Rhinolophus ferrumequinum: one gene and its partners. The main gene of each other region encodes a partner of the protein of the gene in region 3 in a complex. Links are inferred from orthologs where the notes say so. Each region holds a gene or a part of one and is shown on either strand. Other genes may lie near its edges.

Region 1 (7,408 bases), on a different chromosome or scaffold from region 3:
GTGGGTGCGGTTGTTTGGGAAATCCAGTGCTGTTCCTACCTCGCGTGCCAGAAGATCGGGCCCTACGTTTCCCTTGACCTCAGGGAGGTTTAGGTGCTGGCATTGGGGGCTTTGGTTGTAGATCCACACCCTCCCCCCAGCAAAAGTAAGTCACAAGTGTCCGAGAAGCTGATGCCACTGAGTACTTGGGGCTCCCACTGCACAGTAGCTCCCGTGTTGTCTGCTGGTTTCTGCTGATGCTGCTTTCAAGTTCAGATGCAATGATGGTTGTTTCTGTGCTGGTAGGATTTCAGTGTTTTATAAACTTTCATATGCTTTTTGTTTAGAAAATAATTTGCTGGTGTTTTCATTCTAAATCAATAAAGGAGGCTCATTTCTGTATCAGCTGGAATCTGTGCGTGAACACCCGGCAGATTAGTATCCTCACATGCCTGTTCCCCAGAAGTTCACATCACCCTGAGTGGCTCCATCCAGTACAGTCTGCTGTTTCTTAGTGTACCTTGAACCAGTTTGCCCTGTGGTTTCCCAGTGGCCTGGCTAGTAGCCAGGAAAGACTAATTCAGAATGTTTAGGAACGTCTAAGTTACTCATTTTCATGGTGTCCAAGCCAAAATGTCAGCCAGATTAAAAGATCTTATTGGCTGTGTACAACATGCAAAGTTCTAGAGGCATAAGTCTGTCGATAGAGAGAAGGTGATATGTTCTAGGGCTGTGGGGTTTCTAGTCTGTAAGGGGCAAGAAAGAAAACAAGGTGACAAGCGGGCAGAAGACTACAAAGGGAACAGTCAGCACAGCTTGGGTGGGGCAGTGGGTGTAAGAAAGAGTATAGAAAAAACAAGTCGTAATGTGAAAAACAGAGCTGTAGTGCTCTGGGAATACTCTTACAATGAAAGGGGAAACCTCCAGGTATTAGGACGCTGAGCTTTATTCTAAGACAATACCTGGCTGGCACCCAGGACAGAACACTAGTTACGGGAATGGAAATACTAGTGTTCATTGAGCATTGCCAAGGGTCCAGGCACTGATCTAAATGCTTCACATCTGGTAACTCATTTAATCCTCACACTCGAACCCCATGAAGTGAGTGCTCTATCTTATCCATTTTACCTAAGAGGAAACTGAGGCACAGAAAGGGTACACAGCTTCCCCAAGGTCACACAGTAAACAGCAGAGCCAGCACGGTCTTGGGAATCAAACAAGATGTAGGGTTTAAAGTGCTTTGAAAAGCAAAAGGCACTGTATTAATTTTAACATAAAAGGTGGTATGTTGTTTGGAAATTCCAGAAGATAGAAATTGTTGGTTCTTGGCCCAGTCTTTAGGAGGTCATGCATTTCGTATCACATACAAAATTAAAGGCATTTGCTCAGAGGCCAAAATGAATGTAAAGCCATTCCAACTATGTGCACCTTGAGCCCCAGTGACTAAATGGTTTATATCACGAACTACATCATGACATAAGCCAGCGGCAGGCTGGAAGTTCAGGGCAAATTTGAAGCCAAAAATTGCTTGTTGAGGTAGCCAACTTACAATACCATTGTCCCTCACCTAAGCTAAGGCTGTTTGCCTTCATTTGGGGAAGTAGAATCTTAGTGAGGAGTGAAATGAGGAAGGGGATAGCCCCAGCACCGCTGTTCTGCAGACGGGTGGGGGAGGGACCCCACTACTTTATTTTTGTACAGAGGAATTGAGTTTTACACACCACTGACAAATCATTCAGTCTTTTTGGTACCCTCCTAGTCCTAACCTCCCAACCCAAAAGAGGGCATTCAGAGCGGGAGGTGAATGACCTGCCTGCACCTGGTGGACCTGGCCCCTGGAAATGGAGATGAGACGCAGGGGGTGGGGCTGGCCGTCCCTGCACGCAGAGCCCCCAGCAGTCAGCTCAGGAGGCTCCATCACAACCACATGCCTCACCGAGGCATAGCCTCATGCTTAACTGAGTGGTCACCTAGTAGCCTTCCTTTGCCAGGAGTTCCAAGCCAGCTCTTCAGAGGCTCCTGATTCCATGCTACCTACTGTCTTCCCAACCCCCACCGCTCTTGGTTGGTGCAGACATGGAATCCAGAAGCTAGCCCTCCTCTCTCAAATGCACGAAGCACAGAGGGCACAAGTAAGTGAGATGACAGTGACCCTAGCATACTCTGAGCCCATGTGCTCATGGGCGTTTACTACCTACACCCTCATAAAGCCCAGCAAAAGGGGTATTCTCATCACTGTTTTATAAATGGGGGAGAAGACGAGGCCCAGGGAAGTTAAGCTTCCCAATCCAGGACTTAAGCTTGTCTTCCAACGTCACTCATTCAATACACATTTAAGTGTTTGCTGTGTCCAGGGCTAACACCAGGCCCTGGGAAAACAGTGATGAGCTTCATCCTTATGGCGCTGTCTGTGGAGGGGATAGACATGAAACAGTCAACCCAGCGGATGTAAAATTGCACAGGTGACCAGTTCTAAAGCCTCCAGTACGGACACTTGAGTGTATCAGGGAAGCCCACCGCATGTGTACAGGTCCGGTGTGGGATGTGGGCGTGGTGAGGGCCAGTGCCAACGGAGGCCCAAGTGACTGGAGGGCAGAGAGCAAGGGAGGGCAGGGTACAAGACGAGGTTGGAGAGGATGCAGGGATGGGACTCCGCAGGACCTTGTAGACCACCTTGGAAGTTCCCAGAGCAGTGGGACTTTTGAATGTTTCGGACCTTGGGGAGGGAGTGTCAGGTCACATTGGTACTTAGCAACCATCACCCTGGGCCCAGCTGGCATGGGGTCAGAGTGGGTGTGGGACAGCTGCCCACCAGCAAGAAGGTGCTATGGATGAAAAGGAGAGATGCAGGATTGAAGAGATTTTTAGGAAGTGAAGGGAACCAAAATTTTGCTGCCCTGACGCTGCTCTTTGGGATATTGATTTCAAGCTTTTTATTAAGAAATGACTCAGAAAGAAACTTTGCCCCTCCTCCCCCTTTTCCTGCCCAAGAGATTCAGACAGAAACATCTGCTTCAGGAAGGGAGCCTGGGCTCAATCACCTTAAGAATCTTCACCTTAACATTAGTTAGGAAGACTCCATGCCTGTTAGCTTGTTACCCCCTCCTGTGTCTCATTGTTTCTGAGTTGCCCAGCAAGAATTTCCTGCCATGTATGTTCCACTCTTTCTCTACTCCCTGTAAGTTGCACTTTGTCACTTCTGAAATCTAATACCCCTTCCCCTGCCTTCTTCTTTGTCCAAAATGTCTTACATACCCAATGTTTCCTGTCTTTGGAATTGTCATGTTTATGTGAATTCCCCATGTGCATGTATTAAAATTTTGATTTTTCTCTTGTTAATTTTCCTATTAATTTGATTGTTAGCCCAGCTAGGAGAACTTAGAAGGTGGCGGAAAGTATTACTCTTTTTTAGAAGTAAAAAGACTCAAGAGTGGATTGTGTATGGAGAATGAGGCAGAGGGAGGCGTCCAGGATGGCTCCAGGGTGCTGATTTGGGTTCCTGCGTGGCTGGTGGCTGACATGAACACTGTAACTGTTTTCTTTCCTCTATCCCACACATTAAACATTTGGTGGTCACTGGGAGAACAAGTTCCTGCAAAAAACAAATAGGCTTAAAAGAGTGGTTTTCAATAAGGGTAGTAATACTTTTTTGGTTGCCAAAATGACTGAGGGGCAGTGGTGACATTTAGTGGGCCAACAGCCCTTATGCTGGAGCAGTCCTCCATCGAGGGCAAGAGCCCATCTGTCAGGAGTGTTTCACTCTGAATGCCAAGAGCACCCTTGACAAGAAACACTGTGTAAAATGCCAGATATGTGTTGTAACAAATTACAGGTTGTTCTAGGGATACTTGGAGGAATTGCCCTGGCCTATCCTCCTGGAATACAACTCTTGGGATCAGATGCAGCAGAATGAAGGGATAGGCGGCACATTGCGCCCGCCTCACCGCCGACCTTAACCTTTGCTGTTTTGAAGGGGGGCGGGTGTTCGTGTAGCTCCAGGAAGCTTTACGCAAGAAGCTATAGAAAACGATGGACTTCATTTAAAAAAATGTACATGGAACATTTTGCACCTGTCCTCCCCTGCTGGGAACGCTCAGTGCGGGGTCGGCTCCCCGCCTGCTCCGTCCCTCACCTCTTTAGCGTTGTGCTGCCGTCACAACACGGGGAAATCACCCTCGTTTCCTGGTAATCTGCCTCCCCCAACAGTACGTACATCCCTTCCGTGAAAGCAGAGCCCTCGCCCGCCCGGCTCTACGCTGGGCCCCAGCTCCCAGTTCCACGTTTAACGCTCGAAAGGACAGAGTTTCATGCTATCCTCGGGGGTCCACAGACCCCCTCCAATCCACCACAGGGCCCGAGCCCCCAGCTCTCATTCCCCGACGTCCCGCTCTGGTGCTACCCCCAGAGTCACTTTTCGCCCGGCAGGCTGGGCGGTCTGCGCCGGCGCGCCTCCGGCCCCGCCCACGTGTGACGTCACGCGGCCGTTACGGCGCGCCGGCGTCTCGGCGCGCGTTTTAAAAACAGTTTCGGAGAGACGGCGGGCAAGATGGGGCCTCCCTGCCCAGGTGAGTCGGGGCTGGCCGCGGCGCGGCGGGAAGGGCCCGTGCGGGGCGGGGGGCCCGCGGGCGGGCCTGAGCGGGAGTGAGGTATTCTCGGCCTTGTTGTAGGCCTTGTCGTTGGCCACGCTCTCCGCGGGCAGAGGGAGGCTGGGGGGAGGGGAGGGCGGGCGGTGTGCTCCGCCAATCAGGACGCGGTCTCCGCTGGCGCCTCACTGTTCGCCCGCGTAGGTGGGAAACTGTTTCCCCTGGGTTCCTCCACCGAGCCCGGTGTCTTGGGCATTCAAAAGGTGGTTTTCCTTGAAGGCATGTTAGTCCAGGGCCATGGAAGCGTTGTGGGTACCTCTGTATGCTCAAAACGCGTGCATTTGTTTTTACATTCATACAAGTATTGAGTGTTTCCTTCCGGCCAAACCCTCTGTCGGATGTAGAGATACACCAGTAAAGAACAAAGGCCAGATCCTAGCCTGTTGGAGTTTGTATTCTAGTTGGGGAGACAGGGAATAAATAAACGACATAATTTACAGATGAGTCTGAGTGCTGCGATTTGGTTGAGATGTCCTCATGGCTCTCTTCCCAGCCAGAGCAGAGTGAGGCCCCTTTAGGTTAGGTGGTTCACTTAAGATTTTAGCAGAGACTGGAGAATGTGTTCCAGACAGAGGAGCAGGTGCAAAAACTGGGCAAGCGGGAAGGAGCCTGGCATAGGCGAGGACAGAACCCAGTGACTACACAGTGAGCAGGGTCACTGAGGTGGGCAGGGCCTTTGTAGGTCTTCATAAGATGTTTCGGAATTTAGGGTTACGTTTTGGACATGGTAAATGACCTACAAGAGAGACAGTCAGGTGACGGGGTCAAAAAACACTTGGGTAAGACTTTGCCACTCGGGGGAGTGGCCCCTGGACTGAGAAATAAATTTGGACGTCATCCTCATAGGGCATAAAACTATGGCACAGGTGAGAACACTAGGAAAAGCCTGTAGAGAAAGCACTCAGGACCAACATTTAGAAGCTGGATACAACGAGTAGCTGGAGAAACTCAGAAGAGAGTGGTATAGGAGCCAAGAGTGTTTCAAGAAGCAGGGAGTTGTCAACTGTTCCAGAGGCTGCTGAATCTCAAGAGAGATGAGGCCTGAAAAGTGGCCACCGGCTGAGGTAACATGGTAGTTGTGGGTGGACAGACAGTTTTCATAAGGTGGTGGGGACGGGACCAGACCAGAGGGAGCTGAAAATGAGTAGCAGGGGAGGAAGCAGATACAGAAAGTGTTTTTGAGCTCAGTAACCTTATCTGTTGAATGAACACATGCGTGATGTCAAAGGCAGTGAGAGAAGTCCTCCTGCAGTGCTTCCTGTTTCTTCTGCCAAGGTCTCTTCTCCTAAGGTCCAGCCCCCTTCCTTACCTCGCAGCGCCCACATCCACATATATAGTCACAAGTCCCCTTGATTCGGTCTTGAAAAAAGTCTCTTCCTTCCTTTCCATTTTTACTTTTTTTCTTTTGCTTGTTTTGACCTCAGCTGAGAATTATATGAATGATATTCTTCAGCCTGTAGGAAGCTATCAAGGGAACAGTGAAGTTCTTGTATTTGTGTTCATTCTTTTAGCCCTGTTCTCCACTCCTTTTTCCTTCCTGTCACATGGGCAATCATTTAGTGTTACTGTGTATCACTTTTTAATATGTTTCTATAAAATATGTTATATTGTGTATATGTATTTTTTTCATATTGCTAGTTCTGAACCAGCTGAGATACACATTCTCATATGGCGGATGAAAAAGCAAACGTTTAGGCCATGTACTTGCTTAAAATTTCTCTAGCTAATAAGTGATGGATCTGGGGTTTGAAAACAAGCCTTCCAATTCTTAAATCTGGAAACGTTCCCACAAGATCTTTCAATGTCAAGGTCTTTCAGTGTCCTCATCTCTCTCTTCCCAATTATAGTTAGGCCACTGCACTCAACTAGCATAGTCACACCCCAGACCTCGTCATTGTTAATGGCTGCACCTTCTGTCATCTCAGTGTCATCTCAGTTTTATGACCCCACTTCTCAATACCACTCCTGTCTTTCCAACTCACTCCATCTTGTTCCCCGACTCCAGCAGTCTTTGACCCAGCAGATCTATACTCTTATTTTCACTGCCCCTCACCTCATGACCTTGTTCCCCTCGTTGCTTAGCTTACATGCCGTGGTCCGTCAGTGGAATCCCTCCCTCTCATACACCCGCACCCCCATGCCCTCTTCTTGCTTCCTTACACTTGGCAAACTCTCAACCTTGGTTAATTCCAACTCCGCCTACTTTGCCCAGCGCACCTGATAGTGAAGAGGACCCAAAGGCTGCCCAGCAGTCATGCCGTATCCCCTGGTTCACCCACTCTCCCTCTGGATGACTATTTCATACCCTCCTTTCTCTCCTGAAATCTCCCCAGCCCTCACCCTTAAGATGTGGAGTTGGGGGGTGGGGTAATTTCCTATTTTACTGAGAAAAGAAAAGCAATCAAGAGAAAAGAAAAGCAATCAAAAGAACATCCACAGTCCACCATTGCGGCTGCTCCCTGCCTGCATCTGGGCCTGTGTTCTCCGCCTCCTTTTGCTGTGGATGGGCTCTGCTCTCAGCAAAGGAACCCTTTTACCTGCTTGAGTACATTGTTCAGCAACTTTCACCCTTCTGCAGGATCTCTGAGTTATGTGCCCCCGCCAAAGATGTCTGGAACCTGTGAATGTTATCTCACATGGTAAAGGGGCTTTACAGGTGCCATTAAGGATCTTGAGAAGAGAGATTATCCTGGATGGTCTGGACGAGTCCAGTGTCATCACAGTGGTCCTTGTCCAGGGAGGCAGGAGGTTTGATCAGAGATGCGGTGACAGAAACAAGGTGGAGT
Region 2 (7,345 bases), on a different chromosome or scaffold from region 3:
CTCTAATGATTAGTGAGGTTGAGCATTTTTTCATATGTCTGTTTGCCATCTGTAGGTCCTCTTTAGAAAAATGTCTCTTCATGTCCTCTGCCCATTTTTTAATTGGGTTATTTGTTTTGGAGTTGAGTGAGGTTTTTTTTTTAAATAAATTTTGGATATTAACCCCTTATTGGATATATCATTGGCAAATATCTTCTCCCATTCAGTAGGATCCCTTTTTGTTTTTTTGATGGTTTCCTTTGTTGTGAAAAAACTTTTTAGTTTGATGTAATCCCACATACTCCCTCACTTTTAAATGACACCTATCAGCAAGCCTTCTCTGATCATCCAACATAAAATGCCAGTCCCTACCCTGGCACACTGTATCTTTTTTATCTTGCTTTATTTTTCTTGTTGGCATTTATAACCATCTGACACACTTCATATTTATTACTTGTTGACAGCCTTGAGAGAACTTTGTCATCTTGTCTGTTTTGTTTACTGTTGTATCACCAGTGCCTGGCACATAGCATATCATCAGTACATGTTGAAAATTAAATGATTTGATCTTGTATATTTATAGAACTGGTATTTAGGGTTCTAAACACCAAAAGCAATGTAATTATATAAAAAAAGGATTCTTAAAGAGAGTAATCATCCATTTTAAAAAATAATATATTATAATAACTGAATAATAGTTTGCTAGTGTGTAGCCATGTGCAATTGGTGATACCCAATATGGAGAGAATAGTTTATCTGTGGACACTGTTGGTTGGCCACCCATCAGTCGACTTCCACATTCCACTTATTCCTTGTTTACCAAATGGTGATATGTTCAGGTTTAGGAAGCCTCCTAAGAAATCACTGATCAATTGAGCCAATCTGGGTAATTCCATTTCTCTTATTAGGAATTAGTTAGGGAAATAGCACATGATCCAATTCTGGCTAATCTGTTGGGATGCTTCAGGTAAAATTTTTAAAGGAAAAGAAGAAAAAGCACAAAATAGGAAAATCCCCTTTTCTACCTCTGGACATCAGAACAAAGAACTGCCACCTGGCAACCATCATGGGAAGGCCAAGAGGAGATAAAGATGGAGTGATATTCAAACTGCTGTATTAACTAACTCTTCTTGTTGTAGGATATAGTAAATGAAGTAGGTTATTATTCCTACCTTTACATATGAGGAAACTGAGGCACAGAGAGAATAAGTAACTTGTCCAAGGTCAGAGTGGTACAGCCAGGATTCAAATGCATGCAGCTTGGCTCTAGAGTCTCAAGCTCTACTTTGTGTACCTCTCTAAAGCAATCTAACTGATAGAAGACAACCTCTAGTAAGTATAGTGACATTATGGAGTCTTGTTTGATAATGCCTAAATTATTCTTGATCATCTATAGGTTTCCATGGATGGAAACATATATTGCACATATATTGTACAGTGTTGCAGCTGTACGTACTCTTATATATTGTTTTTTTCTGATTATTGCATACTCTTAGAAACAAGAGTTCCAGAATCTAAAAGTGTTACTTGAAATAGGTCAGGTAAAGTCCCAGAAATTTGGAGAAAGCTGTGTTCTCCAATAGCTCTTAAATCCACCAGGACTTTATTTTGGCATATGGCAGGAGATAAAGCTCTAAAATAATTTTTCCCCATATACACCAAGATTAATTATTGAATACTCAAGATAAGGTGGTCAATGAGTGCACTCTTCCTGTAATGCATCCCATGCAATACTAGGGAGAAAACAATAGGGAATAGGAAAAACATGTTCCTTGCCCTCAAGGCGATAGTGATGTAGTGGAACAGACAAACAATAGAATTTACATGTGGGATGGTTATTTTGAAATGCTAGGCACAGTGGCAGGTATGCACTCTTACCTCTAAGTTGTGATGGAAGATTTTTGATGGACAGTACCTCTTGCACAACATACTGATTCACCCCTCCACTTTTCAACAATTCCTCTGGGGCTAAGGGCAGATGGAACTCATAAAGTTGGGGAGACATCCTTCTCCAACTGGTTCACAGGGCTGGAAACCAAACAGCAAATAGGTCAGGATCTGCATCTAAGGACTGTCTTTTCTTATGGTTCTATTAGCCCCAACTCCCTCCAATACATAATGCTTTTTAGTCTTACATCGTGCTGATGACATCTTAGGGGATGTGAAATCAACCCTAGACGAATCTAATTTTAGTCATGATTCTATCAGTTGGTTATGTCACTTAACCCTCCGGGCCACACCTGTACAACGGGACTGCTAATCTCTGATCACAGTTGCTCATTTTCAAAGGAGTCAAGGGACATGAAAGTTTAAATAAAGTGGCATATCAATGCGTTATGTTTGCATTATTTCCGTTTTTATGGGCAAAGCTTTTTAAAATAGAACGTTTCGCCTGAGGCCCGAACAGTGGCCTGGCATGGGCTAGTGGGTTTCCTGGCTCCAGAATGGGAGAGCATTAACATTACCTGTTTATGTGCCAGGTTCTGTTAGGCTATTTGAATAGAGCATATCTGATCTAATTTTCCAAATCCCAATCTCCTGGAGTGATAATACAGCCCAATTTACAGATGAGGAAATTGAGGTTACAAAAGCTTACGCGATCTGCCCAAATTCTGCTGCGGATATGTCAGACTGTTTCTACCACATCGTACCCCAAAGATATACCCACTAGATTTCCCTGCCTCTCGTACGCTGCCTAGTATTACCCTGTACCCGATTTTCCCAGTTTTTTATTCCCTGCTATCCATTAACACCACACTGTACCGGAGAACCTCACCTGCCGTTCCTCAGACTTCGGTTGTGGGGCTGAAATGAAGGGAAAAACAGGGCGGGCACAAACAGGGCGTGCACAATACGCACCAATCAGAGAGGCAGCGCTCAAGAGGGCCGAGAAACCTACCAATCGCGAGCAGGAGGAGGCAAAAACCTGCCTCTGAGCCAGGCGCGGCGCCGCGCGGGCAAAGCCAAAATCGTGGACTTCAAATCTCAACGGTCGCAAGGTGACCAATCGCGACGCTCTCTGAAGAGACCGGCCAATCACAGCGCAGGAGCCGAAAAGCCCGGCCGCATCGCCTAGGGAGGGGCGGGACCTAGATTTAGGCTCCGACTCCCCGGGCTCCTGGTCTTGCGGGTGATCACTCCCCTTCAGGGTCTTCCTTTGTCCCGCTCGGTGGGGAGGAGACCCCGGCAGTTCCTGCCCAAGATGCCACTTTTCTAGCTGGGCAGTGGTAGTGTCCCTAGGGTGGTGACCTACTCAGTCAGCCCCAGGGCAGGATTTAGGTTTAGGCTTTAATCCAGGTTTCGCCATTTCCTCTGGTATGTGACATCTAGCAGGTCACTTCACTCTCTGAGTCTCGGATTCCCTCCCTTGTAAAATAGGGGTAATAGAAACAGCGACAGCTCAAAATTGCTGTGAAGCACAGAGAAAGGAAGCTCTGGGTTCCACGGTCTGGATATTCAGCTCCTTCATAGTAGAGGGACAGCCAAGGAAACGAAAGAATGAATTTTCTTGAAGCTCAGTTTTGGGACGCCCTAGGCGATGATGAAGCGAGCCCCTCAGCTCTTCCGGCGCTTCAAGATTCCGGCCCGCAGACCGGAAGCGCCTCGGCGGGGCGGGGTGCGTGAACGCCGGAGGGTGTGTGTCAAGGCCTCTGCCCCGGAACCCGGAAGGCGGGGCTTGTGGTTGGGGAAGGTGTAGCATAGGCGGGCCCTGCGCCCAGAGCTACTTGGGTAAGGACCAAGATGGCTGCGTCAGGTTAAGAGCCGTGTGAGGCCGCTACCTGACGTTTCCTGTCATCTCTTTGGAGGCCACGTCTGGCCCTCACTCTGTGCTATTGAGGTGTCCTGTTGTAGGGGAGAGACTAGAACAATGGCAGGGAGCCTCGCTGGGGGCGCAGGCAGGCGCCTTTGGGGCTGGGTGCCCCCGGCCTGCAGAAGCTTCTCTCTGGGTAAGTGGCGGACGTAGAAAGACGCCCCGGGGGAACTGCTTCTCAGATTCAGTCCCTTTCTTCTCCATCTCTAGGTGTTCCAGGATTGTTACACGTAAGACTCACCCTCCCGCCCCCCAAAGTAGTTGATCGTTGGAACGAGAAGAGGGCCATGTTCGGGGTGTATGATAACGTCGGGATCTTGGGTAAGACTCAACTTCATGGTCCATAGTTTAAGAATGGCAGTTACGCCTTGACAGCTCTTTTTTTCCACCTGTGTAGGAATGGTACTGTGCTCAATAGTAAGAGCACCTATGTGGCTTGTTTATGTTGTGTTGAGCACTGATCTGAGTGCTGTACATGTATTAACTCGTTTAATCATGATAACCTCTTCACTTTACAGGTGCTGAAACTGAAGCACAGGGAGGTTAAGTAATTTTTCCAAAGCTAATAAATGGCAATGGCGGAATTTGCGTCTCTTGATACTGTAATGTGGCTTGTCTATAGGTACTGTTCAGAAAGGTGCAACTGTGTCCTGAAGGCTTAGCTGGTCGAGGCTGGGTTGTCTGGGCTAATATGTGCTCTCATGTTACACAGGGAATTTTGAAAAGCACCCCAAAGAACTAATCAAGGGCCCCAGATGGCTTCGAGGCTGGAAGGGGAATGAATTGCAGCGTTGTATCCGAAAGAAGAAAATGGTTGGAAATCGGATGTTCATTGATGACCTGCACAACCTTAACAAACGCATCAGCTATCTCTACAAACACTTTAACCGACATGGAAAGTACCGGTAGAAGAGAAAGCTAGGAATTGTGGAAGAGGCATATCTATCACCCAGGAGAAAGGAAACAGTACTTTTCCTTATGAGTAAAGGGATTTGTGTGCTCTCCATAATAAAATGGGGCTTCTTTGGAATCTGTTATCCATATACTTTATTTTCCTTTAGATGCTACTTTTACTCATTCATGTAGACTATGAAGTCTGACTCATCCCTAAGTCTTACTGTCTTAGGTTTGGACTTCATCGATTGTCCTTTGCAGTCTAGCCATACTTATGGCCTTTAAAAAAGTAAAATTATTGTTGGCACTTCTTGTCCTTTGGGTTTCATGTATTGAAAGTGGTAATTTTTAAGTGCTCCATAATGCTAAATGTTAAATGTATTTTAAAAAACCCTCCCACGTTGGAATGAAACATAACAGAAAAATGGAATTCTGTACTATTCTCATCAAAAATACTGGGTACCTTTTCTGCGCTGAGAACTGTAGGGGGAAAAAAAGTGTCGTATATTCTTCCCCGACCAACATGCTTTTCTAGTTAGGGATATAAAGTCATAGTCTCACATGTACACTTTAATATGAGGCATTAATGGTTTGCATCAGTAGTTCCTAAGCATGACTGATCATCAGAATCATGGTGGTTTAACAATTTCAAAAGCCTGGTTCCTGTCCCCAAAGATCTGTGATCTGTAGAGCTGAGCTGAGTCTTATGCGTCTATATGTGTGTGTTTCAATAATTATAAAATATCCATACATACAATGCAAATTTAAAAATTACAAAAGGGTAATCAGATGAAAAGTTTTCTCACAGCCTTTTTTTGTGTGTGTTCTTTCACCAAGGCAAACACTCTTACAAGATTCTTTTTTACTCCTTTGGGACATACACTATGCATGTACAGGTTTATATTAAAGACTATATGTCTATCTCCTTAAAAAAATTGGATTCCATATACACTGTTCTGTACCTTGCATTTTCACTTAATATAACTTGGATATTATTTTATATCCTCACATGTGCCATAATGATTTAACCAATTCTATTTTGATAGACATTTAGATTGTTTCTAGGCTTTTGCTTTTTCAAAGTATGACGTCTCTAATTTTAGGTAATTACAATTTTAAAAGCCCTCAGGTAATTTTAACTAGCCATGTTAGGACACCATTGATGTGGACAATAAGTGACCTAGGTAAAAATTGTATTTGGCCTAATTCGGAGAGGCTTCATAGATGATGCTAGATTTCAGTAAGGAGAGAAAAAAGGGGTAGAACATTTTAAGGGGGGAAGAGAAGAGTGATCAGTGGTGCATAGTGAAAGAACACAGTATGTGCTAGAAGTTGGCGAGGTAGGTCTAGCTATAATGAAAACATGGTATGCCACTGTCTGTTTTTCTTTTAATAGTTTACTTGCCTGTGAATCACATTAAATAAGCTTGGCATTACTCAACTGAGAGGAGAAAAATGTTGCTACAGTTTCTAGAATCATGTACTGACTAGGATTAGATTTAGTATGCCTCCAGTGCCTGGAATAATGAGGCTTTCAAATATTTGCAGAATGAAATAAGGAAAAGTATTTGATGTGTTGCTTATAAAGAAATCTTTTATGTGGGTTAAAAGTGCTATTTGTGTTTCTTGGGAGGGTTATTAGGTTGATATGGGTAAGTCTCTGGTATAGACTATTGATCAATGACATGGCCTTTGGAGTGACAGGTCTGGGTTTAAACTCAAGTTTTACCACTCTATTCACGTGGCCCTACGCAAAGTAGCTAAGCCTTAGATTTTTTTTTTTAGCCTGTCAAGTAGGAATAATACAATACTTTCCTCATAAGGTAATTGGAGGAATAAATGAAATTATGCATGTAAAATATTTTGTAGAGTTTGGCAAGTGTAAATGGTAATGACACTCCTGGAATGTGTGTAGTTGTCAAGGATTAGAAAAACCTGAAGAAATGAATGGAAATGTTTTAAAAATTATTTTAACTTTTTATTTATAAAAGTAGTATTGCAAACTAAAGAAAATGAGTTACTTAACATATACAAGTTGGATTTGAAGGTAGAGGAATTAGGATGATTAGGCCTCTTATCTGATCCAGATCCTTTCAAGTAGATACTTGTTTCAATTACTTATTGTTATATAACTTCACCCTGAAAGTTAGTGACTGAAAACAAAATTTATTAATTCATATTCTCTGGGTTACCTGGTCTCAACAAGCATATTCTCCATTTAGTGTGGGCTGGGGTCAGTCATGTTGCATTCATTCAGATGGAAGATTGGCTGGAGCTAGAATGTCCAAGATGTGTTTGTTGACATGTTTGGTTCCAGTTGGGGTGGCTAAGATTTTTTTTTTAACATGGTCTCATTATTTTGTAGTTTAACCCAAACTCCTTTACGTGGAGGCTTGATCCCAAAGTTAAAAATGGAAGTTGTAACGCTTGATAGACATAGGTAAGAAATCACATGGTGTCACTTGTGCAACATTGTATTGGTCAAAGAAAGTCACAGGCCAGCCCAGATTCAAGGCTATGAGGAAATGCGCTCCATTTTTGGATCGGAAGCAGCATGCAATTGTAGGGATGTGATGAAGTATCAACAGCCATATTTCAGTCTAACCTCAGTAACATTTCATGTCTTTGTTAGGACTTTATCGATTAATAAGTACTTGTTAA
Region 3 (7,696 bases):
AATAACATTGGATTTGCCACTGCCATTTGGCCCAATAATACAGGAAAAGCGCTGCATAAAAAGAACATAAAAAAAAATTAAAATGAAGTTTAAAAAGGTCATACTACTGATTTTAATTTAAATGCCTTGATTTTTTACTTACAGCAAATCTACAACTATTTAAGTTTTCACTGCTACAAGATAACACAACTTAAATTTTCTTACACCTTTATCAGAAGCGTCAAACACTCTAAATAAGACCATCTTCTAACACAGACTTTTTACAAAATTCATTCTAATCAAGAGAAAATACTCTTTTCAAACGAATAACTCACCAACTCTAGTCAGTGAGAAAAACTTTATAATAGCTACAAAGGTACCAACGATAACTAGATAAAACAAAAACTAATTTGTTGTTAAAAGCATAGGAAATACACCGTGTGTGAATCAATCAGGATCAATCTAACAGTTACAAAATTGAAACATCTTGTAATAAAGACTCATGATTTCCCAACAGTTATTTAAAATTGTCAAATACCTTATGAAAAGGTCCGAGAATTTTTTCCCCAGCATACGATTTGAAGTTCTGGTTTACAATATGAGTTATCATAAGTCGAGGAGCTCCAGCTTCATTGGTCATTGCTGGAGGTGGGGGAGGAGGGATGCTATTCAAAATTTCTTCTAAACTTCGATTATTAATTTCCTCAGTTGGAGTCTCTAAGTCAGTCAAAGGAAAGGAAAGGGAAGGCAAAGGGTGGAGGGAAAGCCTGCATTAGTGCAATTAGTTCTGAGGACCAGTGCCTGCTAATCTCTGGAGAGATGTTACTTATGAAACGTAGGAATCTATATTTTCCAGTTAAATATAGTAGTGTCCTAAGCTCACAGGAGATGACAATCTTTCATCTTGGTTTTATAAAAAAAGAAATTCTTAAAAGAAATGCCACCAGTCTCAAAATTCTATAGAAATATACCTGTTAGGAGTCAAAACACTACATTATAAAGCAAATCTGGTAAAACCACAACAGCCTGATTCCCTGCTCACCGCCTAAACAGGTGGTTAAATCCCTAAGGCTCTATCCAACTCTCCGTATCTTTGGTCATCTGGAACCTTAACTTTGGACACTCTAGATCTCCAGCGACACTGTCAGAAGGGTTTCGTAAGGTCATCTAATTACTGGACTCACAAATGTTACGGTGGTTTCGAGGACATTATCATCTTCTCTTTAATCGCAATTTAAGACCACGGGAGTGAGGTGAGGGTCAAGCAACTTTTCATCACATTAACATAGTCATGTTGATTCTATCTGAAAAGAAGTCCACTGGCTATTGGCTGACCGAGCCGATTTCCGCGGAAATACAAGGCCACAAACAGAAATTCACAACTGAAGCAATTTACTCGCCCCCATTCCCTCAAGCACCGTTACACCGAACTTGCACGAAGAGTCTAATCTCTGAAAATCCCCGAATCGCTTTCTTGATCTGATCTACCGGGCAGACACGCGACCTTCAGACGTCTAACGCGCAGCCCCTCTCTCCTGCGCCAAATAACACGGCCCAGTCCCGGGTTGGGCACGGACCCACTCGAGTCCTCCAGCGCGCTTTCCGGCCCAGTCTCGGCCGGCTACTCACCTGCAGTAGCAGGGGCCCTGGGCCCGGCGCGGCCCGGCGGCGGCTCGGGCTCCGCGTCGTTGCTGGTGCCGTCCGGGGACTGCGGCGGCTCTTCTTCTCTGCGCCGAGCGGTGGAAGGCTGGGTGCCTTTACGGGGCATGGTCGCTGGGGCCGGGTGAGAGCCGGGAGTTAAGTCAGCCCGCGGGCCGCAGGGCCGCGCGGGTACATTCCCCGCCGGCTCCCGCGACGTGATCGGCTCAGCCTCTACCCCGCCCCACTCGGGATAAAACTCCGTTCTCCAGTTCCCGAGAGCCTGTCTTTAAAACACCGCTCAACGCCAGCGGGTCCTTGGGCAAGAAGGCACCCAAACCCCAAGTGCTAGAGGTGCGGGGCTCGTTTTCTTAAACAAGTTCCAAGCAAGTGGGAAAACCTAGACGTGCCTGGGAATCAAGCCACCACAGACTACTTGGGTTCTTATTTTTTAATGCCCCCTCCCCCGTCGCCCACAGTTTAAGTGTATACGAATATCTGAATGTAATTTCTGAACGAAGTAATTTCCATACGCCGGCATTTACTGACATTCCCACGTTCTCGGGGCTAGGGATGCAAGCGCAGACTTAGAGGAGTTCGCATTAGTTTTAGGTTTGCGGGGCTATCAACTCTTCCTAGAGCAGAAGGCTAAGCTTAGGACGACTGGCTGCCCCGTCCTCTCCCCGCCATTTAGCTCTTGGCGCCGTTGACGGCTCGGGGGCTTCGAGGTCTCCTCTCCACAGTCCCACTGGGCAGGGCGGCCAGAGGCTGGGGTCCACCCCTCGGGACTTCCAAATCGGACGCCAGCGATGATCGGGGGTGTCTCTCCGGGACCCGCGGCGGAATCCCGTTGGGTAATGAACTACGAAAGGTCACCAGTAAGGGCTAGGACCCGGTGATTGGTCCCTCGGGAGAAGAGAGAAGGCAAAGGGTCCGGGGGAGACGCCCTTTCCTCGACAGACACCAGGATTTCTGAGATCCGCGAGGCTTAGAGCCCCCTCCACCGCCCCGAGCGATGCTTAAGAAGATCACAGAAGTAGCGCCCGGGAGAAGCGCGAGGCAGCCCGAACTGCCGGGGAGCGGCCGCGGGGGGAGGGGTGACAGCGAGAGAGATCTCCCGGCGACAGCCTCAGCCCAGACTTCGGCTGCTCCTGCTCAAGGCCTCTACTTTCCGGGCACCCGCGGACGGGGTAGGAAGTGAGAGTGTGACAACCTGATTAGGAAAAGATGTACTTTACCTGCGGGTCAGTCCACTCAGACCAAGGCTGGAAACGGTTGTATAGACCCCCCCGTTCCTACCGGTGTTTCGGCTCCGGGTCCTTCACTCGAAAATGGCGCCTAAAATACAAACTCGAACGGAAATTCGTTACAAATGCGCGCAAAGGTTTCTGGGAACCACTAATTTTAAAAAAAAAAGTGCGGCGATTATCACCGCCATCTTCTGGTCGCTTACACGCATGCGCAAACTCCGGCCCTGGGGAACCCAGGTGGCATGGGACGTTTCTTCTACGTGAAGAGGAAGAGCAAAACACTGTGTTCCTTGGGGCCTACGGCAACAGCACTCTTATAAAAAATATTGAAAAAAAAACCTGGAGAGTTTTGAAAAAGAAAAATAAGAGTAGGGTTCCGCCCAAAGCTGGAGGCGGGGCTCAGTCGTCCAATAAAGCCCCTTAAAGAGAGGGCGGGCTCCCTGAGGGGCGGGGTCTCAGGCCCGCTCGGGTGACGCGCGGCGGGAAAGTATCGCGGGAAGAGGGAATGAGCGTAGCTCTTTGAAGTCACTATGGTGACGGGAAGGTCGGGAGGCTTGGTAACTGGTCCCCAGCTCTGTGAGAGCAATCGCCACCGCAATTCTGGAACGTAAGGTAAATCTCTTCACCTCCGGATGTGGTGAAGAAAGGGTTTGGAAATTGTAGCCATCACTGGATCCCACTTTCTTTGAGGGTGTGTGCGGCGGGGAGCATCTATTATTTTCCATCTCCCTGGTGGCAGTGGGGCTCTGTACGTAGCTTTTGGGATGCGAAGGAGGAGCCCAGAGTTTGGAGGGAATCGAGGGACAACAAGGAGAAGAGAAGACCTGGACTGGTGAATGATGGTGTAGTCCACATGTTACTAGCAAAATAATAATTTCGAGTTATTGGTGTTAGATCTTTAAGTGTCACTAGAGAAAAGGGTTTTCGGGCTTTTGAAATCATTTGATTGAAAGACCCCGTTATGGAAGAAACGATTTGATGATGTCATTTGGTTATCTTTATGAGAAAATGTTTTTAAAGTAGCTTTTGTGTACATCGCACTGTGCAAGACATAATCAGGATTATTAAGCAAATATTGTTGTTCCCAGAGAACTTAGTTATGTCAGTGGGTTTTTATCTGGAGTCTGTGGATCAGGGGTTGGTGATTGGGCTTCAGAGGAGTTCATAGCGCCCCCCCCCCCGAAATGATATACAAAATTATGTGTGTGTGTGTGTGTGTGTGTGTGTGTATGTGCGCTCATTTTTCTGGGGAGTTAGTTTTCCCAGAACTTTGATCAGATTCTGGAACGTGGTCCTAATCCCCCACAATGTTAACCACTGGTTGATCTGACTATCTCCAGTAAGTATTCAGCAACTCTTCTGACATTGAGAATGGGGGCCTCCTTTATTTTTTCTTTTAAATTTTTGCATACTTAGTGCCTGGCATACTAAAGCACTAATAAATCTGCTTAATGAATGAATTTATATTGCCATTCTATTTAAGTGTTGTGACTCTTGTTCTGAGGAGCATAAAATCAGGTGCAGTAATTCTCAAAAAGGGGTGTGGACACTCACAAGTGTAAGAATTTCGTGAGCTTGGAGACTGGTGTGGTTTGAATACTCATTGACTTGATATCCTAATGTACCTTTATATTTGAAGTTGAAAAAAAGGATTAATTGTTTTCATAAGACAGGCTACAGATACTATAGCTCAAGAAAAAAATGTGGTTGGTAGGCGTATCAAAAAGATGTGGGGGAAAAGATGTAGGGATTCTCTTTGAGAGCTTCTGGAATCCTTTGGATTTTTGAAGTTTGTAAAGCTGTAAAACTTGAATTAGTGAGATATCAACCATGAAAAAGCAGACTAGACCAAGTTGAGTGGTGTATGTGGGGGACAGAGCACAATGTAGTAGAAAGATGTAACATAACAGAATCCAAAATCCCATCATTTTTAGCCACATGCTTGGATAATTTATTCAATTTATCAATCTCTCTGAGTATTTATTTATAAAACCAGCATATAATACCTATTTCACGGGATTATTTATGATTGTTCACATAGCACACATCCTACAAGCATTTGATACTGTGTGAAAGATGCATAATGGAATCAAGTTAGAAGAAGGTTAGCTTATGAAGAAAGGTCTTGAAATCCAAGTCAAGGATTTTAGATATGTTATGGAGGAAACATGAAAAATTTGGGCTAAGGAATGACTTGGTAAAAACAACAACAACAAAAAAAACAGTAGCTATGTGGGATGTGTTAAAGGTTAAAGAAACTGAGATCAGACATGGCTTAGTTAGATTATTACTGTACAGTCCCTCCATGTGGGAGGTGAGAAATGCTTACACAGTAGAATGGAAAAAAATCCCAACACACTTTGGAGGAAATAAAATCTATAGCTTTTATAGATTTTAATGTACAAAGTTAAGAGTATAAACCCTTAAAGTCAGATATTATTCTTTGTGAATCTTTGAATTAGTGATGAAGGGACAGGGAGAAAGATAAGTCACATATAAATCCTAATTTTACTGCCTTTGATGATTGCTGTAAATAATGGTAAGTCTAATGACTGATGGGAAAGAAATGTAATTTCAATAAACCAATAAAGTGACTGATGGCTTTAGATTTAGTTGAAACTAACCACACCCCATTCAGAAGGAATATTTTCAAAACAGACTTAAACAAGGTTGTTTAATGAAGAAAAGACATAACAGCTACAAAGTAGACTTAAATCTAAAACAACAATAGGACACTCAGAATAAGAAGTCATTTGAGAAGAGATTAGGGTTCCAAGAAATAAAGACATAATTGATCCTTGCCAATACTTTTGATATTTCTCATGAAATTAACACTGTCTAGTTATAAAATAAAGGCTGGTCTAATTGGAATGGACTAGGTTATAATCATTTTGGAAAGTATAACTAAGTCTGATCCTCCTGGTTCCAAAATCATCTACTAACAACCATTATCTATAATTTCAGGCAGACTGAGAAGAGAACCCTCACTTCTCACATTTTAAAAGTAAAGTTGTACCCCACAGGAAGAAATAAGAATAAGTTCAGAGAAAAGTTAGAATTAGAATTACAATGCACGTTTGCAATTCTTTAAGTGCATGATTTTGTCATCATAATAATATACATTTTATCTGCCTTCTAACGTGGTTATAACATTTCATTAAGTCTGAAATTAGGTTTGCGAGTAAATGCTTAAAAATATTAATCGAGACTGTAGTTGTAAATATTTGAATTAATTAGATATTAGCTAATAAAATGAATAAACATGAATTTATGTAAGTAATGTATAAGTGCTTAGAGAATATTGTCTATATACGTTGGATATAAACACAGGACAGATAGTAATGAATATCCCTCTTGATAATATAAGCCCCCTAATACATTAAGCTTGTTGAAACTCTCACCTAACTTAATGCAGAAAAAATAGGAAGTGAAGAAGCAGAACAGTTTTAGGGGGAAGAACCATTTTAAAAGATGAGTTTGTTTTTATTCATGTTTGTTGGGATTGTGGAAAGATGTGTCCAGTGGGCAGTAGTGGTAGAGAATATAGCTCAAGAGAAAATAGGATGAAACAGTGTTACAAGAATAACACTTGGAACACTAAAAATAGATTAGGTTTTTAAGGTTGTGAGTAAAGAGAGGACGGCACCAGAAAATGGGCATTCTTAGAATCTAGGGAGAAGAAATAATTATAGTAATGTCTCAGGTAGGACTTTCTAGATTATAAGTGACAGAAAACCCAATCCAGATTGTCTTGATAAAAAAAAAAAAAATGGCTCCCATAACCAGAAAATCAGATGAATATAACTGGATTCAGTGTTCAAACAAAGACAACAGGATTTGGTTTCTTTCTTTGCTCTGCTTTGCATACCATTATCTTGGCATTATTCTCAGGCTCTACTAGTGGCTTCTGGCACCTCCAGGCTCTCTCCCTGCTGTGGTAAGAAAGCTACAGTAACTCCAGCCTCAAATCTTCTAAAATTAAAGACTGTGGGTAAGGAGCATGCTTAGTATGTTAGAAGGAAAACAGAAAAATAGTATCTATTTGTTTTAATTTTCATTTTTTAATTATAATTGAGGCTGAGCGTTGTTTCATTGTTTTTCATTGCCCACTGACATCCTGTATTTATGTTTCTGTGAACTGTCAATCTATGTGTTTAAAAATTATCAGTGCCCTTGACCAAATGACTTCATAGGGGACTGTCCTGTCTTGGTTATTTGTTTCTATAGTATTGCCAATCTATCCCTATCCACTGGTTCCTTCTCTTTTGTCCCCACAAACATACAGGGGTCTACCCAAGTTTAAAAGGCTTTCATAGCTACTATTCTATTTCTATATTCTCTATATATTTATATATCTTTAAGTTCTACATTTATGAGCTATGCCTGCTGACCCCATTTTTTCCCCCATTCATTCATCGGACAAATATTTACTGAGCACTTATTGTATACAAGGATGGTTCTAGTTGCAGGGGATATAGATGTGAACAAAATAGACAGAAATTCCTACATTCATGGAGCTTACATTTTAGAAAGGAGCAACAGTAAGTAAAACGCATAGTATGACAGATGGCCTTAAATAGAGAATGCAGGGAAGAGTTTACGGAGAAGACGACTTTTGGACAAACATATAAAGACGGGAAGAATAGTAATACGTGAAGCTATCTGGGGGCATGGATTCTAGGCAGAGTACAGGTACAAAGGCCCTGAGGCAGGAGCATGCTTAATATGTTAGAAGAAAAATACTGAGGCTGGTGCGACTGGAGCAGTATGAGTGAAAAGAGAGAGAAAACAGGAGATGAGGTCAGAGAAATAATGGGTATATTAGGGCT
Region 4 (7,508 bases), on a different chromosome or scaffold from region 3:
CCGGGGCAGCCAGAGTGTGCCCTGAGGCTGGCACCCCGACCTGCGTCTGCCAGGAGAGTGGGCTAAGGCACAGGTGGCTGGGCCATGTCCTGCTCCAGAGGACCAGAGGTGTGCTCGGAACCCTGGCCCTCCTGGGACAGACATAAGGCTGACAGAACATGCTACTTTCTCCGCTGGGGCGGCTGGGAACTGCTGCTGTTGGTGGGGGCTGGGGTAACTCCGGAGTCCTTGGGTGCTGGCCTGTGGTTCTCCTTCCTGGCTGCCGGGCAGGACCCGGAGGGACGGTGCCCGAGCAGGGCCTGTACGATCCTAATGGCCCCCACTGTGAAGATGAGCCCCCAGAGCAGGGTGGGGGCCTCCAGGGGAGACAGCTGTCTCCGGACCCAGTGCAGAGCTTGGGTGAGGGTGTTGCTGGAGCTTCGGACCCGGGGTGGGCTCTTGTCCTGTTGGGGCAGGATTGAGGAGGGTCCATGGGGGTCGTCCCTGTGGGTGGAGGTCAGCCCTGCTACCTCCCACAGCCTGGCTAATGACTCCTTACCTGGAGACCAAACTGCCTGAGCAGCATGTCCAGCGTGGGGTCTCCCAGCGACACGGGTGGGAAGAATTCCTCAACCCACTGGCGTCGCCACCACTGGCTGCAACAGGAAGGGGCGTTCAGGTGGCACCCAAGCCCAGCTCCCCGGCATGCCGCCAGTGCCCCAGCCTTACCCCTGTTCCCCCGGCTGTGAGAACCAGTACTTGTAGCGCTGGGCCCGCACGAAGTTGGGCGGCTGCTTGTGGAACGGGTACCTGGTCACATCGTTCTGGATGAGGAGGATCACTGTGGGGAGGGGAGCTCAGCTCCACTGGCAGCTCCTTCAGCCACGCCCACAAGTCCCCGCCTCTCCAGCAAGCTCCGCCCCCACCCCTCTGATCCCGGCCTTACCTGGCTCCTTGCCCTGTAGCAAGCAGAGGACCAGGCTCGTGAACCAGGGGCTGTGCGTGTGCGGGCCCAAGGCCGCAAACCACATCTGCCAATCAAGGCGCGGCTGGTGGGGCACCACGACTGGGGGCGGCCGGCTCACATTCCCAGGCTTGTACATGAACTCGATCTCCTGTGTGCCCAGCTGTGTTCAGGAGGGTGGCTGGACCCAGGACCCCCCTTGTCCCCCCAATGCCAAACCCATGGGTTTCCCTGACATGGAGCCTGCCAGGCTCCCCAGGCAGGGGTCTGTGGGAGAGCGCACCGTCCAATGGTGCCCGTCGTAGCTGCCCTCCAGCACCACCTCAGGCCGCCCACCCAGACCAGTCATCCGGCGAAAGAGGCCATAGGAGTTGGCCAGCTGCAGGTGCTCCACGGCGCCAAATAGGCGATGGGCCCCGGTCCAGAGGCGCCCATGGGTGGAGGGCTCCATGTAGGAGTATGGCACCTGGGGATGGGTGGGCACAGGCTCAGTGCTGCCCCCTCCAGCCCCCTCCCCCTGCCCTCTGTGAAGTGCTACCCACCAGACTGATTGTGAACAAGGCCACTGTGGCAGTGCCAAAGATGGACAGCTGAACGGCAGCCCAGAGCTTCCGCAGCCACCCTCGCACCTGGGTCCACCTGGGGGACGGAAGGGCAGTCAGCCCTGCTCTGCACAGCTCTACCCCCCACCCCCCTCACACACCTCCAGAGGGCCGTCAGCAGTTCCCAGCCGAGGGAGGCCGCCCCCAGCCACATGGTGGGCAGAATCACCGTCTTCAGCCACTGGGAGAACTGGTGGAAGGTGAAGGCTGTGGAAAGAAGGGAGTATAAGGAGGGGTGGGCCAGCCCTTGCCCTTGGGCGCCCAGCCGGCACTCACTGGTCCTGGAGTGGACAGTGTACTGTTCCCAGTCGACCTCCAGGCCAAAGTAGTGCACGGTGCCGTAGGCCAGCAGCCCGCCAACGGTCAATTCCAGCAGCAAGCTCAGCAGGGCCTTGAGCCAGACTGTAGGGCAAGACAGTCAGGGGTCAACTGGGAAGAGGGCTGCAGGGTGGCAAGGGGCTGGGGGGAGCCAGAGCAGAGGCCACCTAGATGAGTCCGAGGAAAGGACACAGCCTGCTGGGCAGCAGGGTGAACATGGCTGGTTGTCACTCACAGGTGGCTGTCTTTTTGCAGTGGCTGTTGCCAGGCTCGGCAGCCAGGTGCTTGTCATCCAGGAGGGTGGTGGTGAGCACCAGGGTGAGCAGGTTGAAGAAGTTATAGTTGCCCGTGATGATAATCAAAACTTGCAGCAGGACCTGCACTCAGAGCCCCCGGGGCCGCCACGGACCGGGCCTGTCAGGGCCTGAAGCCCACGCCTACAGGCACCCCTTGACCTCTGTCTGGCCCCGCTCCCTCTGTCCTCTACCCCTGCTCATGCCTCCCATGACTCCCCAGCACCACCAGGAGAACACCCAGGCTCAGCACCCCTCCTGCCCCACTGATGCCCTCCAGCGAGGCTGTGCCCTGCCCACAGGCACACCTTCATGTTGAATTAACTCGTTCCTCTGCCTGAGGCCTTCCTGACTGCTGGCAGCAGCCACCCTGTCCCTAACGGGACCCACTGGCTTGTGTGGAGGAAAGCCATGTCCCTGTCTCCCTGAGGCGCAGGTCCACACCCACCTGGCAGTAGAAGGCAGCCAGGCGTAGGCGGCGAGTCGGGGCGAAGAACAGAGGGGGCACCGCGACCTCAATGAGGAAGGTGGCCACCACACTGAGCCTGTGCAGCCAGACGGGCAGGTGGTGGGCAAACCAGGAGGCAGGTGTGGGCAGGCACTGTGTCTCGTAGTGGTAGGTGAGGGCTGCAGGTGACGGTGGGCGGTCAGGGCTGGGCAGAGCCTCCAAGAATGCCCCATGTCCAGTCTGGGACCCTCACCAGTAAGCCCCCACCACGCGGGGCAACGGCTGGTCAGCTTGACCACACCCGAGGCGAACATGAGGCGAAACAGCAGCCAGCGCACGAGCCAGAAGGGGAGGCCTTCGTGGGGCGAGGCCTCTGACAGCCTGCCCCAGGGGGGCTGCCTCAGGGGGGCCACCAGCACGGCCAGGAAGCCAGTCTCCAGCAGCAGGGAGTCCCTATGGGGAGTAGGAAGAGCACAAGGGCCGCCCCATCAAGGTGCTCCCGTCACAGGGTCCGTCACAGGGTCCTCCGGGGACAGGCAGACACACCCTGCCCCACCCCAGCCTCCTGCAGGCCCACACCCAATAGTCACTCACCACTGGAAATACAGAAACACCTGGCCCACCTGCAAGGAGAAGAGCTATCAGGGAGCAGGGGCTGTACGGCTGGGGAAGCAGAGAAGGCAGAGACGGGGGGGGGGGGGGGGGGGGGGGGGGGGGGGGGGGGGGAGGGAATGGATGAGGCTGGGGTGGTTGGTGGCAAGGTTCTCAGTGGTGTGGGGGGGCAGGAGGCAGCCCCACTTGCCTGGCAGGCTGACAGGTAGGCGGCCCAGAGCAGCAGGTAGGTGAGGGGGTGGCACAGACGGCGCAGCAGCAGGGCACCCAGAGCCAGCAAGGAGCCCAGCAGGCTCAGCAACTCCAGGCCCTGCGCTGTGTCCAGTCCCAGCCGCGGCGCCTCCCACAGCAGCGTTGGGACCTCCCACAGCTGCTGCCAGCGCGCCTTGCCCTGCGGCCGCAGTGTTCTCCGCGCAGGTAGGATGCCCTCAGTGCCATATAGGCCTGTGGGAGGGCATGTCAGGACCAGGCCCTGGACGTTGCCTGGAAGGCTAGACTTCCCCCACCTATCTACCTCCTCAGGCAAGACCTGCAGCGCCCCCCCCCCCAGATCAGGATGTTGCAGACCCTACCCCAACAGGTCAGAACCTGTTGACCGCTCCATTCGCACCAGGAGCCCTGCCCAGACTCCCCAGGCCAGGATCCCACCGGCAGAGCCCAGGTCCAATCTCCTCCAGGTCAGAGCCTTATCTCCTACCTGCCTCACCAGTTCTGGGCCCACCTCCCTCTGGATTCTGCCCCAGCTCCCCGCCCCAGGTCAGAACCTGGAACCCTACGGGAAACGGACCACTGCAAGCTCTGCTACCCCCTAAACTCTGCTACCCCCTAAGCTCTGCTGCCCGCAGGACACGAACCGCAGCCCCCTACCCCGCACATCAAGGCCTGGCCCTCACTCCCGCCCCGAGACAGCGGAGTGTCGGGTGGGGAGAGGACAGGGCACAGGGCTGGGTCCTGCGGGTTGGGGGGTGGCGGAGCCCGGCGCCCTCACCCGGGATCTGTGTGTAGAGGGAAGCGAAGGCGAACAAGAAGACGGCGGCCACGCCCTGGAGGAAGAGCTGCCGCGGGAGCCGGGAGCCCGCCATGTCCGCTATGCGGCCCGCTGGACACGAGCCCGAGGGTGGGTCCAACTGCAAGCCCCGCCCCATATTAGCCCCGCCCCGACCCCAGCACACGCCCCGCCCCTACGTCTGCCCCTCCTCCAGCGTGCCTCGCGGCCCTTACGGCCCAAGTCCGCTGCGCAGCGCCCGGGTTCGCTCCTCGCCGGCCTTGGCCGTGTACGTCATAGATGTGCGCCCGGCGCCGCGCGCTACGTACTTTCCTGGGCGGGAATAGCAAAATGGCGCCAGAAGTAGTGGCGAGCTGAGTACCCTGGCCCCCCTGGAAGCCTGCGCCGCGGTTTCTGGGCCGCCCCGGCCCCTCCCAGACATGGAGGACGTGGAGGCGCGCTTCGCCCACCTTCTGCAGCCCATCCGCGACCTCACCAAGAACTGGGAGGTGGATGTGGCGGCCCAGCTGGGCGAATATCTGGAGGAGGTGAGGGCCGCCTCGGGGGAGTGGCGTTGGGCGGGCGGGGCGCCGGGCCCGGGGCTGTTGGGCGGCCTTGCGGCCTCCTGGTTTGTGTATATCCGGCGGTCTGGCGACGATCATTCTCAGGCGCGTTCCCTTTTTGCCAACTCCATCGCTGCCTCCCGAAATCATCCCTTATTAAATTAGCCTGGAGCTGTCATTCCAGGTCGCTACCCATTGTGAGCCATGAAATCGGTTCAGTGGGTGATGACCAGCATTTTTCCCTAATGTAATAGAATAGAATTTCTGTGCGTTTTTGGATGTTTGAGAGATCCTGGATCACGATGAAAGAGGGATTGACTTCTTTTAAAATTTATTTTTAGTTATAATCGACATACAACATTATATTGGTTTCAGGTGTACAACATTGTGATTTAACATTTGTGCACCTTACGAAGTGATCATCACAATAAGTGTGGTAACCATCTGTCAGCACACATAGTTATTATGATATTATTGACCAGAGGGATTTCTGTCTTGGATTTTCAGACCAGTTTCAAGCTACTGCCATGTTTTATCCCGTCCGCACTGAACCTTTCTTACATATTTTCACAGCTGTGTCTAGCCCTCCTTAAGGAGCTGTCCGCTCCATTTTTACACTTCACTTATATTCCTCCGTCCACTTGGACTGCTCTTGGCTTGATCTATCAAGTCCAGGGGACACTAGAAGCGTTTGTTGGTTGACCACACCCTCCTTTTTGAAACAGGTTTTGGTGTTTTGATTTTCTTCCAGTTTCATTGCCTACTTTTTCTTTCCTGTGCAATCAGCAGTGAGCTGCTCAGAGCGGTCCTGGGCATCTTCTTACACATTTCCCTGCAACAATTTCATTTATTTCCACGATTTTAAATATTGCTGTATGAGGACAACTCCCAAGTTTATGTCCTTATCCCAGATCTTTCCTCTGAATCTGTTTTGTGTATCCAGCTGTTCACTTGACATTCCACGTAGATGTCACAAAGCATCTCAGAGTTAATGTATTTAAAGTGGAGCATTTTATTTTCCTGCTCAAATCCCACCCTTCCGATCTTGGTAAAGAGCACCACTCTTCAACCAAAGGTGAAAACTAAGAGCAGTTTTAGTGAAACCCACACTCCACACCCAGTTCACCACCAGAATTCATACCACCAGGATTTCACTTAAATTCACCTGTTCTCCTTTTCCTATAGTCCAGGCCACCATCTGACTAAGATTCGTGTAAAACCTTCCTTCCTAGGCACCCAACTGCTGTTTTTGGTCCTATCCAATCAGTGTTCCATCCAGCAGCAAGTGTGACACTTAAACATTATCAGGCTGTAGCACTGCCCTGTCTAAAACTCCTCAGTGGCTTTCCATTGCTCAGAATAAAATCCAGACTTTCTGCCCCAAATTTGGCCCTGCTTACTGTTTTAGCCTTCACTCTGGTTCTTCACTGTTCTTTTGAGCCAGTCAGCCTACAACAGCCGATCTCGTTCTTGACTGAGGGTATTTATATTCTCTGTTCCTCCTGGGGAGTATTCTTCACCCAAGTCTTTTTATGACTAATTCCTTACCCTTTATGTCTTAGTTTACATGTCAGCTGACCAACCTGTCTAGAATAGTTGTGTCATAGTACCTTACATACTTTAGAATGTTTTTTTTTACAAGCTATTCTTTAACTTGTTTACTTGGTTATGGTCTGTTTCCACCCTAGAATATAAATTCTGTAAGGGCAGTGACCATGTTTGTACTCTCTTCCCTTTGCTAAGCAAAATGTCCAGCACTTAGTAGGTATGGAATAAGTGTTTGTGAAATGAACACTTGATCTGACAATCGACCTCTGCTTGGAGACACACTCTGCTGAGAAAATGCAGAGAAGTGTGCTGGGTGGGGCTACTGTGGATTCAGGTTTCTACCTCAAGCAGGGTACTTGGGGATGCCTGGTAATTCTACTTCTGGCTTGGTCAGCTCCCCTCTGCTTCATTTGTCTGCTCTTCCAAACCTTCCCTGCCCTGTGAAGTCCTGAGTTCTCTAGTTTTGTCTTTCTTCCCATTTCATTTTCCACACAGCTACCAGAATGTTCTTTTTAAAAAAAAACACAAACAGATTTTATCATGTTGCTACCTATCCTCTTTCATCCACTTATTTATTCATTGTTGTTGAGTGTCGTGTACCAAGAACCATGTTAAACCTTGAGAAAATAGTGGCAAGCTTCACTTGCCACTCCTGTAGGGAGACGCAGCCTGAGGCAGTAACCACAGCAGGTCGTACACACATCACGCATTTGGTGCTTGCTTATGCCAGCCCTTTTTTGTGTGCTTCCTACGTCTATGCTCATCTAATGCTTACAGAAGCCCCGGTAGCCCAAGTGTTAGTTCTGTGGAGAGATTCTGTGATGTGCTCGAAGTCCCAGCTCATGGCAGAGGCGCCCCCCCCACACACCCCTTGTGTGTCTTTGTGTAACCACAGACTGATGAGTGGTTCAAAAGAAAAGTTGAGGGTTTCATGAAGAGTGTGACTTGGGAGACTGAACATTGGGATGAAAGGAGTTGCCTTGTCATCGTGAGCTGTTCCGGTACAGACAGTGTTCCAGGGTTCTGAGGTGGGAACATGTTGGCTCAGTGGAGGACCTGGAAGTAGCTGTGTGTGTGCGCGCATGCCCGCGTTGGGTAGGGGGGCAATGGGAAGGGAAGCTGGCCAGCGTGGGAAGCTGTTCAGGATTTTGGGTTTCTTCCTAGGAGGGCAAAAAGCCATTAGGGTTCTGAGTACA

What was found.
Region 1: SMC4 (region 3) and NCAPH share a complex: the UniProt entries of both Homo sapiens proteins name them as parts of the condensin complex. The link is inferred for Rhinolophus ferrumequinum from reciprocal best matches to the Homo sapiens genes SMC4 and NCAPH.
Region 2: SMC4 (region 3) and NCAPD2 share a complex: the UniProt entries of both Homo sapiens proteins name them as parts of the condensin complex. The link is inferred for Rhinolophus ferrumequinum from reciprocal best matches to the Homo sapiens genes SMC4 and NCAPD2.
Region 4: the proteins of SMC4 (region 3) and NCAPH2 are in contact, whole or in part, in a cryo-EM structure (PDB 9F5W), measured with the Homo sapiens proteins. The link is inferred for Rhinolophus ferrumequinum from reciprocal best matches to the Homo sapiens genes SMC4 and NCAPH2. Residues at the interface, in NP_001002800.1 of Homo sapiens: Ile100, Leu101, Gly102, Pro103, Ile112, Gly113, Pro114, Ser117, Gln1151, Met1152, Leu1155, Phe1227, Lys1228, Ser1231, Ile1232, Phe1235, Tyr1236, Glu1239, Gln1240, Asn1253, Asn1254, Phe1256, Glu1257, Arg1261, Gly1264, Ile1265, Tyr1266, Lys1267, Thr1268, Tyr1269; in NP_689512.2 of Homo sapiens: Arg494, Ile495, Trp498, Glu499, Thr501, Val502, Leu505, Leu506, Gln509, Glu510, His512, Phe547, Cys550, Arg551, Met553, Leu554, Leu557, Gln558, Ala560, Asn561, Tyr563, Val565, Glu566, Ile567, Gln569, Leu573, Glu574, Ala576, Val577, Asp578.

Annotation. Positions count from the first base shown.
Region 1 is NW_022680356.1:1,959,389-1,966,796, forward strand, and holds the start of NCAPH (condensin complex subunit 2), read left to right. Parts: upstream 1-4,392; 5' UTR 4,393-4,525; coding exon 4,526-4,544; intron 4,545-5,488; exon of another isoform or gene 5,489-5,686; intron 5,687-7,408. UniProt on the Homo sapiens protein: Regulatory subunit of the condensin complex, a complex required for conversion of interphase chromatin into mitotic-like condense chromosomes.
Region 2 is NC_046293.1:23,751,705-23,759,049, reverse strand, and holds the start of NCAPD2 (condensin complex subunit 1), read right to left. Parts: upstream 3,018-7,345; 5' UTR 2,879-3,017; intron 2,796-2,878; exon of another isoform or gene 2,756-2,795; intron 2,008-2,755; 5' UTR 1,985-2,007; coding exon 1,858-1,984; intron 1-1,857. Other genes in the region: MRPL51 (39S ribosomal protein L51, mitochondrial), read left to right, coding at 3,848-3,926, 4,001-4,111, 4,503-4,699. UniProt on the Homo sapiens protein: Regulatory subunit of the condensin complex, a complex required for conversion of interphase chromatin into mitotic-like condense chromosomes.
Region 3 is NC_046285.1:79,424,145-79,431,840, forward strand, and holds the start of SMC4 (structural maintenance of chromosomes protein 4), read right to left. Parts: upstream 3,012-7,696; 5' UTR 2,856-3,011; intron 1,753-2,855; 5' UTR 1,748-1,752; coding exon 1,609-1,747; intron 697-1,608; coding exon 518-696; intron 52-517; coding exon 1-51. UniProt on the Homo sapiens protein: Central component of the condensin complex, a complex required for conversion of interphase chromatin into mitotic-like condense chromosomes.
Region 4 is NC_046293.1:253,002-260,509, reverse strand, and holds the start of NCAPH2 (condensin-2 complex subunit H2), read left to right. Parts: upstream 1-4,500; 5' UTR 4,501-4,641; coding exon 4,642-4,749; intron 4,750-7,508. Other genes in the region: LMF2 (lipase maturation factor 2), read right to left, coding at 162-443, 539-635, 709-820, 926-1,094, 1,227-1,409, 1,486-1,582, 1,647-1,752, 1,822-1,947 and 6 more. UniProt on the Homo sapiens protein: Regulatory subunit of the condensin-2 complex, a complex that seems to provide chromosomes with an additional level of organization and rigidity and in establishing mitotic chromosome architecture.